Oryctolagus cuniculus: one gene and its partners. The protein of the gene in region 2 purifies or fractionates together with the protein of the main gene of each other region. This does not show direct contact. Links are inferred from orthologs where the notes say so. Each region holds a gene or a part of one and is shown on either strand. Other genes may lie near its edges.

Evidence for each region.
Region 1: the proteins of PTPRO (region 2) and SDF2L1 purify together in Homo sapiens (affinity purification with mass spectrometry; 3 studies listed by BioGRID and IntAct, with this or other methods). This does not show direct contact. The link is inferred for Oryctolagus cuniculus from reciprocal best matches to the Homo sapiens genes PTPRO and SDF2L1.
Region 3: the proteins of PTPRO (region 2) and DNAJB11 purify together in Homo sapiens (affinity purification with mass spectrometry; 3 studies listed by BioGRID and IntAct, with this or other methods). This does not show direct contact. The link is inferred for Oryctolagus cuniculus from reciprocal best matches to the Homo sapiens genes PTPRO and DNAJB11.

The regions. Positions count from the first base shown.
Region 1 is NC_091452.1:29,148,173-29,151,593, forward strand, and holds SDF2L1 (stromal cell-derived factor 2-like protein 1), read right to left. Parts: upstream 2,066-3,421; 5' UTR 1,999-2,065; coding exon 1,803-1,998; intron 1,649-1,802; coding exon 1,452-1,648; intron 924-1,451; coding exon 642-923; 3' UTR 553-641; downstream 1-552.
Region 2 is NC_091440.1:113,146,836-113,151,069, reverse strand, and holds the start of PTPRO (receptor-type tyrosine-protein phosphatase O isoform 1 precursor), read right to left. Parts: upstream 2,818-4,234; 5' UTR 2,640-2,817; coding exon 2,565-2,639; intron 1-2,564.
Region 3 is NC_091435.1:96,300,494-96,304,141, reverse strand, and holds part of DNAJB11 (dnaJ homolog subfamily B member 11), read right to left. Parts: intron 1,736-3,648; coding exon 1,593-1,735; intron 1,104-1,592; coding exon 1,021-1,103; intron 415-1,020; coding exon 357-414; intron 1-356. UniProt on the Homo sapiens protein: As a co-chaperone for HSPA5 it is required for proper folding, trafficking or degradation of proteins.

The DNA of each region.
Region 1 (3,421 bases), on a different chromosome or scaffold from region 2:
CTGTGTGGGAGACCTGGAAGGAATTCCTGGGTCCTGGCTTCAGCCTGGCCCAGTCCTGGCTGTTGTGGCCATTTGGGGGGGGGTGGTGGCAGTGAACCAGCAGATGGATGGTCTCTGTCTCTGCTCTCTATAAATCTTCAAGAAAAAAAAAAAAAAAGATGCTGTGTGGGATGCCCGCATCCCATATCAGAGTGTTTGGGATCTAATTCTGCTTCTGCTCCACACTCAGGGGCTGGCTGTGGTACCTGGGCCCCTGCCACCCATGTGGGAGACCCAGATGGAGTGCCAGGAGCCTGGCCCAGTCTCAGCTGTTGCAGCCACTTTGGGGAGTGAACTGGCGGGATGGGAGACTTCTCTCTCTCCCGTCTCACCAAGGAAAGAAAGAGAAGGCGCGGGAGAGGGAGGAGGGTGAAGGAAAGGAGGGAGGAAGAAAGGGCGGGTGATGCTGTGGATACATTCAGCCAGGCCAGGTTGGCCTCTCCGCATCGAGGAAGAAATCCCAGTGCTTGCTGGAGCCTCCTGGTCACCCCCAGGCTCAGGGCCGAACACAACCACGGACGGGCATTCTTTAATCACAAAGGCACTTGGGGAACTCCCTCCACACCCCAAAGTCTCTGGCCCTCCCTGGCCGCCCACCGCACTCAGAGTTCGTCGTGAGCCCCAGCGGGTTCCGCCCCCGGCTTGATGAAGACGCCCTCCATGGCCTTCCAGGTGTTGTGCGTGTTGGCGCTGGCCATGCCGTGCACCTCGTGCTGGCCCCGGATCGGGTTCCCGTACTGCTCGCCGGTGACCGACAGGAACACGGAGGTCCCCACGTGCTGGAAACGCACCGCGGCCTCGCGCTCCCAGTGCTGCCCGGAGCAGCGCACCGTCCACAGGTCCAGGTCGTCCCCCTCGCCGTCCTCCCCAAAAGCGCTCACCTCCTGCGTGTGTGTGCACAGTGGTCACCGCCAAGGGCCACTCGGCCGGCAGGGGCACTCGCACCCAGGGAGCTAAGGCTGGCTTCTTCACGTGCTCCCCACCCCCGTCCAAGGCTGAACCCCTCTCCCCAATCCCGCAGGGTCTTTATCAGTCTTAACCCCTAAGCACCTTCCTGGAGCACCACCCCCCAGATGCCACCGTCTTCCAGCCTGGGCACCAGCTCCCTCTCTCTCCGCCTCTGCTGCCTGCTCCTCCTGGCCAGCCCGAGCCTGGAGCTCCTGCTCCCTCTGCTTGTGGGCTCCCACCAGCGCCTACAAGAGGAGCGACCCCGGACGTGCAGACCGCCCCCTCCCGGGAGCGCCCCCCCCCCCGCCGGAGGCGGGACCCCCTGCAGTACCGCTAAGTCCCGAGAGGGGGCGCTCGGCGCGCGTTTTTTCCACCCCCGCCCCCTTGAATCGAAATTCCCGTTTCGCAGAAGCTGAAGCTCAGAGCCCGGCAGGTGGGGGTCAGGGAAAAGGGGGCGCACCCACCTGGTTGTTGGACAGCGGCGACGGGAAGTGGTGCGTGTGCAGGTTCTTGCCGGTGAGCACGTGCGTGAGCCGCACCGCCTGCCCGCAGCGCACCGGGGCCCCGCGCGGGCACCCGTCGTCCGCGCCGCCGCGGATCCGCCAGTAGCTGTTGGCGTCGTCCGAAGCGTCCACGCCGGTCACCGACTGCTGGCCGCTGCCTGAGGAGCGACACCGGGGCCCGCCGCGGCGTCTCTCGTCAGGCGCGGAGCTCTCGGGGCCCCTGGTCGGCCCCCGATCGCCCGGGACCCCACCTCCCCCCCACACACACACAACGGCCCACACGCCCCCCGGCCCCCCGCCAGCCCCGCGCACCGGATCCGTATTTGATGTCGTGCGAGTGCAGCCGCACCCTGTGGTGCGTGTTGAAGAGCTTCAGCACCGACCCGCACGTCACGAACCCCGCGCCGGTCTTGGCAGCCACGCCGGCCGGCCCTAAAAGGGCCAGCAGCAGCCCCAGCAGCACCGGCCCCGCAGCGCCGCCGCCGCCGCCGCGGCCCGCGCTCCACATCACCGCGGCCGGGCTTGAGGCGCTCGGGTCCCACCGGCCGCTTCCGTCCTCGCCGCGGGGCCAATCCGGCTCTGACAGCGCCCCGCCCCACAACGGCCAATCGCCGGCCTGCGCGGCTCTCCCTCTGCGACGCCATTGGGTCGCAGGGGCGGGGACCCGCCCCTTCGGCTTGGGAGCGAGGCGTCTGGGAGGGGGCTGGAGACACGAGGACGCTTTTGATTGGTCCACGCTTCCGAGCACTCGCCAATGGGAAACGCGTGTGGATAAGAGCGCCGAGTCCCGCTGCCGCCCATTCCCCCGGTGCACCCGGTTCAGGCCCCTGCGTGTTCCTGGATCTCGGACGCTAGGGTCTCTGCGCTCAGACTGTGCGCCGGCGGCTGCAGGGTCTTGGGGTTGCGGGGTCCCGGAGCACACAGATCCCCAAGGCACCAGGGCTTTCTGAAGTTCCCTGGCCACTGTGACATTTGGCCCCTGGGACAGCAGAGGGCAGCACGGAGCTATGGTGCAGGCTCTCACCAGGGGGCCCCAGAGCTGCCTAAGGGACAGCACAGGCCACGGGGAGTGACAAGCGAGCCTGGGTGACCGCGCGTCGGCTTAAAGGGAGCAGAGCTTATACCCCGTTTGCTTATCCATTTCCAGGAGCATCCTTAGGTTGATGGAGTTCGTTCCAGGCTGGGGGCCTCAGGGGATCTGGCTCTGGGCTACACCACCCCAAACACTGACTAGGCAAGGCACAAGGGCCCCTTGCAAAGCAAGGAGAAAAGTTCGTTTTAAATAAATCAGCCAGGGGCTGGCGTTGTGGCGCAGTGGGTTAAGCTGCCGCCTGGGACGCTGGCTTCCCATGTGGGCTCAGTTCCAGCTACTTCACTTCCTGCTGGTGCCCCTGCGAAAACAGCAGAAGATGGCCCAAGTGATCGGGGTTCCTGCCACCCACGGGAGAGACCTGAAGGAAGCTCCAGGCTCCCGGCTTCGGGTTAGCCCAGCTTCGGCTGTTGCAGCCATTTGAGAGAGAGCTTCCATCCGCTGGCTCACTCCCCAAATGCACCCGGGGAAGCAGTAGAAGATGGCCCAATTGCTTGGGCCCCTGCCACCCATGTGGAAGACTCGGAAGAAGCTCCTGGCTGCAGCCCAGCCCAGCCCTGGCCATTGTAGCCATTTGGGGAGTGAAACAGTTGGATGGAAGACCAGAAGATCGATCTCTCTCTCTCAAAAAAAAAAAAAAACTTCTCAAAAAAAATTTGAAAGGCAAAGTTATGGAGAAAGAGAGGAAGACAGAGATAGATCTTTCATCTGCTGGTTCTCTCTCTCTACAATGACTAGAGCTGGGCCGTGCTGAAGCCAGGAGCCTGGAACTCAGGCCTGCCATGTGGGTGCAGAGACCCAAGGACTTGGGCCAGCTTCTGCTGCTTTCCCAGGTGCATTA
Region 2 (4,234 bases):
ATGCAGATATTATCACAATGTACAATAGATTATTTAGACACTCTGACATGTTTGATTAAATGTGTTCATCACTAAACCAGGAGTGCACAAACATTTCCATGACCAGTTGCATTTAATGAAATTTGCTATAGCCATTCATACAGACTCAAACTTTTCCCATATCCCACCATTTGTATCCAGTTACTTGTTCATGAGTTGTGTAAAATGTAAAACTATAAATCCTGCCTCATAGTTAAATTTCTCTGACTTATAATTCTTAGAGATTTTCACTTTTATATGGAGGATACTCACAGAGGACAACAAAAATGTATTGGCCATAGGGAAAACTAAGTTTTTTGGGGGGGAAGAGAAAGGGATTATTTAATCCTGACTCATCACACATGGAGTTTTTTAGATTTTTATCATTGAGATCCTGTTGGAAATTTGGTATTTAATAATTGAATTTTGTTTTTAGATTCCTGTAACTGCCTGCATAGTCATATATATTTTCCTGGCACTTAATTAGGACCTTAAATTCAAAGGCATTTTCAAATTATAATAGATTATACCATGTGCCCAATGCACCATATAATATCCTATCACCTAAATGTAAGACATCAGACCACTGTCCCAACACACTACTTTGAACATCTCTTGTCAACTGCAACAAAATAGGATTAAATGAAATAACATGTGAAATCCCTGGAAAGCTGGCCCATAGTAGAGTCATATACACACACATGAGATTATATAGTTACAGATACAGATATAGAAATAGATATATAGATATATTCTCTTCCTTCTTCTTGCATATTTTTATTCAGGTGATACAAATATTGCATTTACATAAAATGAAAATTAATGATGTTCCTTACAAAATTGCTTTAAGTGGCAAGCTTTGTCAATGTAAATACTAAGTGATGCAATTACCATAATTGTCATTTACAGACAAATGTTCAGGAATATACCTAGTGCGTGAAACAGGGTGAACTATTATTGCCACTACACCACCACTAACTACATTTTCTCAACCCTATAGTGAATTTTGAGTCAACATTATGCCACATTTTAATTACAGAAAACTACTTCCATGATCAAACTAATCATTCTCTCACTTTTGGAATTCGCATCCGTTATGAAGAATTCAAGTCAAAGCCTAAAGTTGTGTCAGTGGTTAGGTTCAAGGCAGATGTCATATATGTAAGTACTAGATACGCAGTAGAATATGCAGTGAATTCATTTCACACTTAGGTCCATAAGAAGCATTGCATAGATACATTCAGCTGTGACAAAATTTGAAAACCAGAGCAAGAATAGTGGAGAACTCAATAGGCCTTACACATTGTGGTGTGCAGTAAAAACAACTCCCTGCAGTGAAAATACATGGCTAAGCTCATTACTTAACAGATTTTAAAATAAAACAACCATTAAAATCTTAAGAAAATGTAAAGGATACTAAGTCAAATTTAGAACTTTACTTATGAACTCTGTTCCTGTTTCTCCCTGATATTATTTCTTTCCATTTTCTATTAAGATAAATGAAAATGTGGATTACTTAAAATTAATGCTGTTCTTAAGCCACTGGTGCTGTTCCACTGTATCCTTGGTCAAACATTCATCATGGATGCTACGTAAGCAAGAGGTGATTCTTTGCTAAGGAAACGTTTGCACCCGTAGCGTTTCACCCATTCTAGTGTAGGTATCAGTGTGGTGCTGAAAGGATAGCTCCCCGTCACCTGTCGACGTTCCCCGGTTTTATTTGCGGAGAAGAGAAAAGATGGACTGAGGAGACCTAAAGTAGATCCACTGAGGACCCAAGGGATAGAGGATCACTTCAAAACTCCACGCCACCTTGCAAAACATCTAGCTAAAAGTCTTCAAGAAACTCATGGCCGCCAAACTAGGAATTTCAAAAAGCAAATGTCATTTGTCTCAAAGTAAAACCCCAAGGAAGCGCATTCCAAAGAAGATGGGGAAAAGTGAATTCTATATTTCTCCACCACTACAGTTATAGGTAGCATCCTCTGTAAATATAGTGAAGAAAGTCCAGAGACTTTTTAAAAGGAATTCTCAGGGTGGAGATGAGACTTGTGGAGAGGAGTCCACTCCAGGCTCCACCTGACACTCCAACTCGTTACAGAAAATCCTGCCCTCCACCCACCCCCGCGGTCCGACAGTGGCTGGGGGCTCAGCGCCCGAGTGTGAATCCAGCGTTAGGTAAATTAAGACAAAGCAGCAGCACACTTCGGTGGGGGAGGGCGGGAGGTTAACTGGCAGCGGTGGGTCGCAGTAGGGGACACAAGGGAAAGTGACCTCATTTTGCTAGAAAAAGCTCTACCCACCAAGCCCACCTTTGATGAGGGTTTCAGCTTAGGCGAAAAAAGCCAGAGGGAGCAAACTTCCCTTGTTCTTCTACCCAACCCTTCCCTCCAGATCCCTGGAACCCTCACACCGAGGGACAACAAAGCGCGCGCCCAGCTGCGCGGCCATCGCGCCCCGGGCGCGTCGCTCCCGCACGGCAGAGTCTGGGCGCCCGAGCGCGGCTGAGACCGGACACGAGGCTGGGGGTTGGGGCGCTCCCCTACCTTGAGCAGCACAAAGAGCCAGAGCAGAGGCAGCAGGCGGCGGCGGCCGCGCGCCCTGGTGGGCAGGTGCCCCATCGCAGAGCGAACGGGAACCCGGGAGTGGGGCACCGCGGGACTGGCGGGCTTCCCAGGCGGCCGCTCACAAAGGCGAACTGGGGCTGCAGCCTCAGACGGTGGGCGCCGAAGCTGCTCCCGGCGGTCGCATGCTGCCTTTTCAGTCCCCCTGCGCCGTCTCCCTGTCCTCCTCCGCGCCCGGGGTCCTCCAGCAACGCGCGGGGCGCCGCTGCGCTTTAATGGCTAAGCTTGGAGAGAGGGTGGGGATTGGAGTGGGCGAGGCTCTGCCGCCGCCGCCACCGCGGCTGCCGGAGGAGGCGCGGGGTCCGCGCGCAGGAGAGGCGGGGGCTCTGTGTGCCTCGCGCCGCGGCCCGCCGGCTGCAGGGATGCTTCCCCGCGGGGCCGGGGGCTTGGGGAGTGCCGGCTGCCTGGCGAGCCTCCCACAAGGGTCTGCCCGCCGCCCTGGAAGGCTGGGCAGCCCCCTCCAGGCTTCTCCTCAGCCCTTCCCACAGGCTCTGGGCTCCGGAGTTGAGCGGGTGGCCTTGACTCCTCTGGAGTATCCTGGGGTCCAGATTTCAGTTCCCTACCGATTTTCCTGTGTCTACTCTCAGCTGTAGTTATTATAAAGGACCGGTGACGTTGGGATGACTATGACTGTTGAGATGGAGTGTGCGGTGTGTGTGTGTGTGTGTGTGTGTGTGTGAATGCACGTGCAAGAGTGTGTGAGTGTGTGGGAGCATGAGAGTGAGAATATATGAGCGTACGTGAGTGTGAGAATGTGTGTGTGAACATGTGTATGAGTATGTGAGTGTGAATGCGTTTGTGTGAATGCCAGTGTGCGTGTGTGTGTGTGTGTGTGATGGGGAGTGTTTCCCCCACTGCCCTCCTCTCTTCCACCCCTTCCATTCTCTTCATCCTGTTTAAACACTCACTTTCTACGTCCCATAGTCAGCTAGAAAGAAACAGCACAATTATGTATGTTTTCTATTTGAAATTAGGAGTTCTCCTATGTTGCAAAGACTATCTTTGATACGAGTTTGTCAGATTACCTGAAAAGGAATATAGAACCGGAAAACCACGTTTGACATATATTTGTAAGATATACATTTTTAACAATTCTGAATTATCTGTGAATAATTAACCTGAGACTTTGTAGAGCCACAGCAATGAGTTCCAAGCTGTGTGTCTCCAGTATACTTATCTGTCCCTTTTGTTGAATGTGTGTGTGTGTGTTTTTTTTTTTCAAAGATAAGTCTGTCAAAATAAACTATGGGTACACTGTTCAGGTATAAATCATTTCTTATTACCATGTAAATTATCCTTGCTGTGTCCTGCTGGTAATGGAACTTCTGATTTATCCTTGAGACATGCGTGGGCACCAGAAGACAGGAAAGGTCACCTTGGTCATGAATGCAGGCGTTCAGGCACCAGTTTGTCCCAGTCTCACAGACTCAGGGCTGGATCGAATGTTTAGCATTTAAGACACCTACCTCTCATAAAAGAGTATCTGGGTTCAATTCCCAGCTCTGGCTCCTGGCTCCAGCTTCCTGTTAATGTAGACCCAAGGGGAGAAGCAGTGATGGCTCAAGTAATTGGATTCCTGTCACCCATCCGGG
Region 3 (3,648 bases), on a different chromosome or scaffold from region 2:
AGAAAGCCCGAGGCCCAGGAAGCAGTACTTTGTGCTTAGGGAAAAGTCCCCCATTCTTTCACGGTGCCAGAGATCCTCAGCTAAAATTTCAGTTCTCCTTGACTTTTATTCTTGTTTGCTTCTCTTTTACAAGTCCTTACTTGTTCTATCAATTTTTTTCCTTAAGACATCTTTTGGACTTGTAAGTCCTAAGTAAATAATAAAGGGGGCTCAATCCTGGGGTCCAACCCCACATTTTCAGTACTGTTCAAGAGTTACAAAGACTAGTTCAGGGCACGGAACAGAGAAGAACACTGGATGCTCTGATGCCTGCGGAAAGCAGGGGCTAGAGAAGCCTCTGGAACTAGGTCACTTACTTGACAACCTTGATTCGGAACCGTAAGTCTCCAGGCTCCCCGTCCACATGAGGCTCGCCTAGTCAGAACAGATGACAGCATACCGTAAGTCACACAAGTCGAATACCACAAATCTATTTGGCAGCTGAGAGAATTCTTTTAAGCCACCACCTTGGCATTGATTCTGTCAAGTTTATCTGTGAAGGAAGTGTCTCTGCCTGGTTACAGCGTTTCAGATTACTAGTGAAGATAAGATCACTTTGTGCCTCAGGCATGGTAATAAATAACTTGACCTATTTCTCAAACAAAGAATGATTCATTGATGCCCTGAACCTGAAGTCTGAAAGCTTTTATCCTTTTAGAGTTTTAAATTTGAGCCCAAAGGTACAGTCTGGCAGCGAATCTTCTTTCACTGTCAAGTTAAAATTAATCCATAAAGGTCTGGACACTTTAAATTCTGGTGAAATTGAGGCCACCTGATAGTAACTTTTGGGCATGATATTTGAAGGACAAATAGTAATGACACCGCCTCAGGTGACTAACCGTGATGGTCAGAAAAGATTCTCCATGTGTGGTGAATTTTATATGCATTCACTACGAGGCCATTAGGATATGGGGTGAGACAAATATTCGTAAGTGGAGAGCAGAAAGTTATGATCATAAAACATCAGTATCAATATCCCACCTTCTCCAATAAAGGGGTACTCCATGCCATCTCTCACTCCAGGTTCTATTTCTACTTCCAGAGTTCGTTCTTCATTCACTAGTCTAAGACAAAGAGAATTTAAGAAGAAAAACAAAATGAAGATACAAATGAAAACCCAAGATACAGATAATTAAAGTGTTATCTATGTTATCAGGACTTTTTCTTGGAAGACTACAGTGTACCTCTCCTCTGCAAAGACCTCTGAAATCCACTTACACCTTCTAAATGTCCAAACTTAGGGCAGAACTACTATATAGTACACAAACACATAAGACTGCTCTGCTATGCAAGCAGGAAGAAAATGAAACCTCAGCACTTGGTAAGTCTACTCAGACATAGACAGCACTGCTTACTGTTTCAGAAACATTAAAGATACGCATATTCTGAAGAAACACTTCTGGAAAAAGTTAAAATGTCCATTCCTGCTCTATCCTTCGGTAGAACATGGTAAGGGGAGGGAGGAAGAGCTGGGGATGGACCACTGACGCCTCATTAGACAAAAGCGATTACTCGAGTGTTTCTTGGCGGAACCAAGAAGATGCTTCACTTACTTGACGTTAGGGCACTCATCGCAGACCACCTCCTGGGTCATCTGGAAGCGCCCTGGGCCCAGCTGGGTGGTCCGCATCTCTTGCCGACAGTTGCACTTCCGTTTGCCGGGAGCCTGCCTTGCCACAGGTTTGTTTCTAACTACCTAAGAAGTGCATAAACAACATCAGCTTCACTGTCTTTGGGGACCTCAGCCAACCAGGGCTCTGGCCACTGGCTGGACCTGGAGCTGCCCCTTCCCAGACAAGCCATCCCTCAGAGAGACCAAGAGCTCACAGGACTCCCTGGGGAGCACAAACAGGAATGAGGCAAACACATATTTAAATGACTCAAATTCTGAAGTTTGAGAGGTAAAGAGAGAGCGGAGTAGGGAAGAAGAGACCCAGAGTAAGGTTTATAATGTCAGCACTTGTGAGCCCGACTGCGGTAGTTACAGAATTACATCTGCTGAAATCGAGGCCTTGTAAAGCACAACCCCTGAAGAACAACCACAGCCTTCAGGGCTGGTGTGCGGCTGCCGTCTGATCCCAATGAAGACAGCTCCTTGTTCTAGGTAACCCGACCCTGGCCTGTTTTCCAGTGCTATCTCCATTCAGATACCTTAACACATAGCAAACACATAGCTGCCATCTCTTTGTAGCTGACTGCAATCAAACACTCTGATCTCTCGAGGTGTGTGAAATTAATATAGGGGCTAATGCTGTGGCATAGTGGATAAAGCTGCCGCCTGCAGGGTTGGAATCCCATATGGGCACCAGTTTGAGTCCCGGCTGCTCCATTTCCCATCCAGCTCTCTGATATGGCCTGGGAAAGCAGTAGAAGATGGCCCAAGCCCTTGGGCCCCTGCACCTGCGTGGGAGACCCAGAAGCTCCTGGCTCCTGGCTCGGATGGGCCCAACTCCAGCCATTGCAGCCATTTAGGGGGTAAACCAGCAGATGGAAGACATCTTTCTCTCTCTCTGCCTCTCTATAACTCTGCCTTTCAAATAATAATTTTTTTAAAAAAAGATATATATGTGAAGAAGTACATCCCTGTTTTTGCCTGTTTAATTAGTCAAACACCTAATCACGAGGTGCACGCATACTCACGCAGCAGCATGACACCAATGCTTGGAGCAGTCCCTTAAGGATTACCAGTGTATGAAAGCCCGGGTCAGCAGAATAAAGCCTAACAATGATAGGAATTAGAGCAAATACTTTACAGCACTTATTACATACCAAGCAATGCTCTAAAAACTTTTACATATTCACCTAATCTTCACGGCAACCTTGTGAGGTAGGTACTGTTATCTCCATTTTACAGACCAGGTGGCAGGTCCAAGGTCACATAACTAATACATGGCAGGACCACAGTTCCAAACAAAGCAGACTACTTGCAAAGTCCATGCTTCTAATCATACCCTATCTCTTAAGGTAATCGTTTCTTAAAACATTTTTAAATAGTAAGGGCATTCACATTTTTCCCATGATTATATTACAAAGGGGGGGGGGGCATTCACTGTAAAAAGTAATATACATGGGTATTTTAAAAAGTCCAGGGAAAAATGGAACTAAAAGTTAAGTTTTTTGCTGAAAAAAAATTTTTAAATTCAAGCATAGCTTTTTTCATAATATAAATTCTCCATGAACTTTTTAAGACCTTTTGTATGGATGGATGGCTTTAAAATATTTTATACCAGAATACACTTATCTTTTCATACAATTTTTCAGGAACTTTTAATTTTTTTTCTTTGAGAAGCAGACAGAGAGACAAAGAGCTAGAGAAAGGGAGGAAGATGGTGATAGAGACAGAAGAGAGAGGTCCCATCCACTGGTTCACTCCCCACAGTGGCCAGAACTGGGCCAAGCTGAAGACAGGAGCGGCCTTTCATGTGGGTGGCAGGAACTACCTGAGCCATCACTGCTGCCTCCCAGAGTCTGCATCAGGAAGAAGCTGGAATTAGGCAAAGAGCTGGGGCTCCAACTCAGGTACTGCTTTATGGGACATGAGTGTCTTAACCACTAGGCCAAACATCCACCCCTCCACAACTTTCTGAACTATTTTTGTATTTTGTGTAT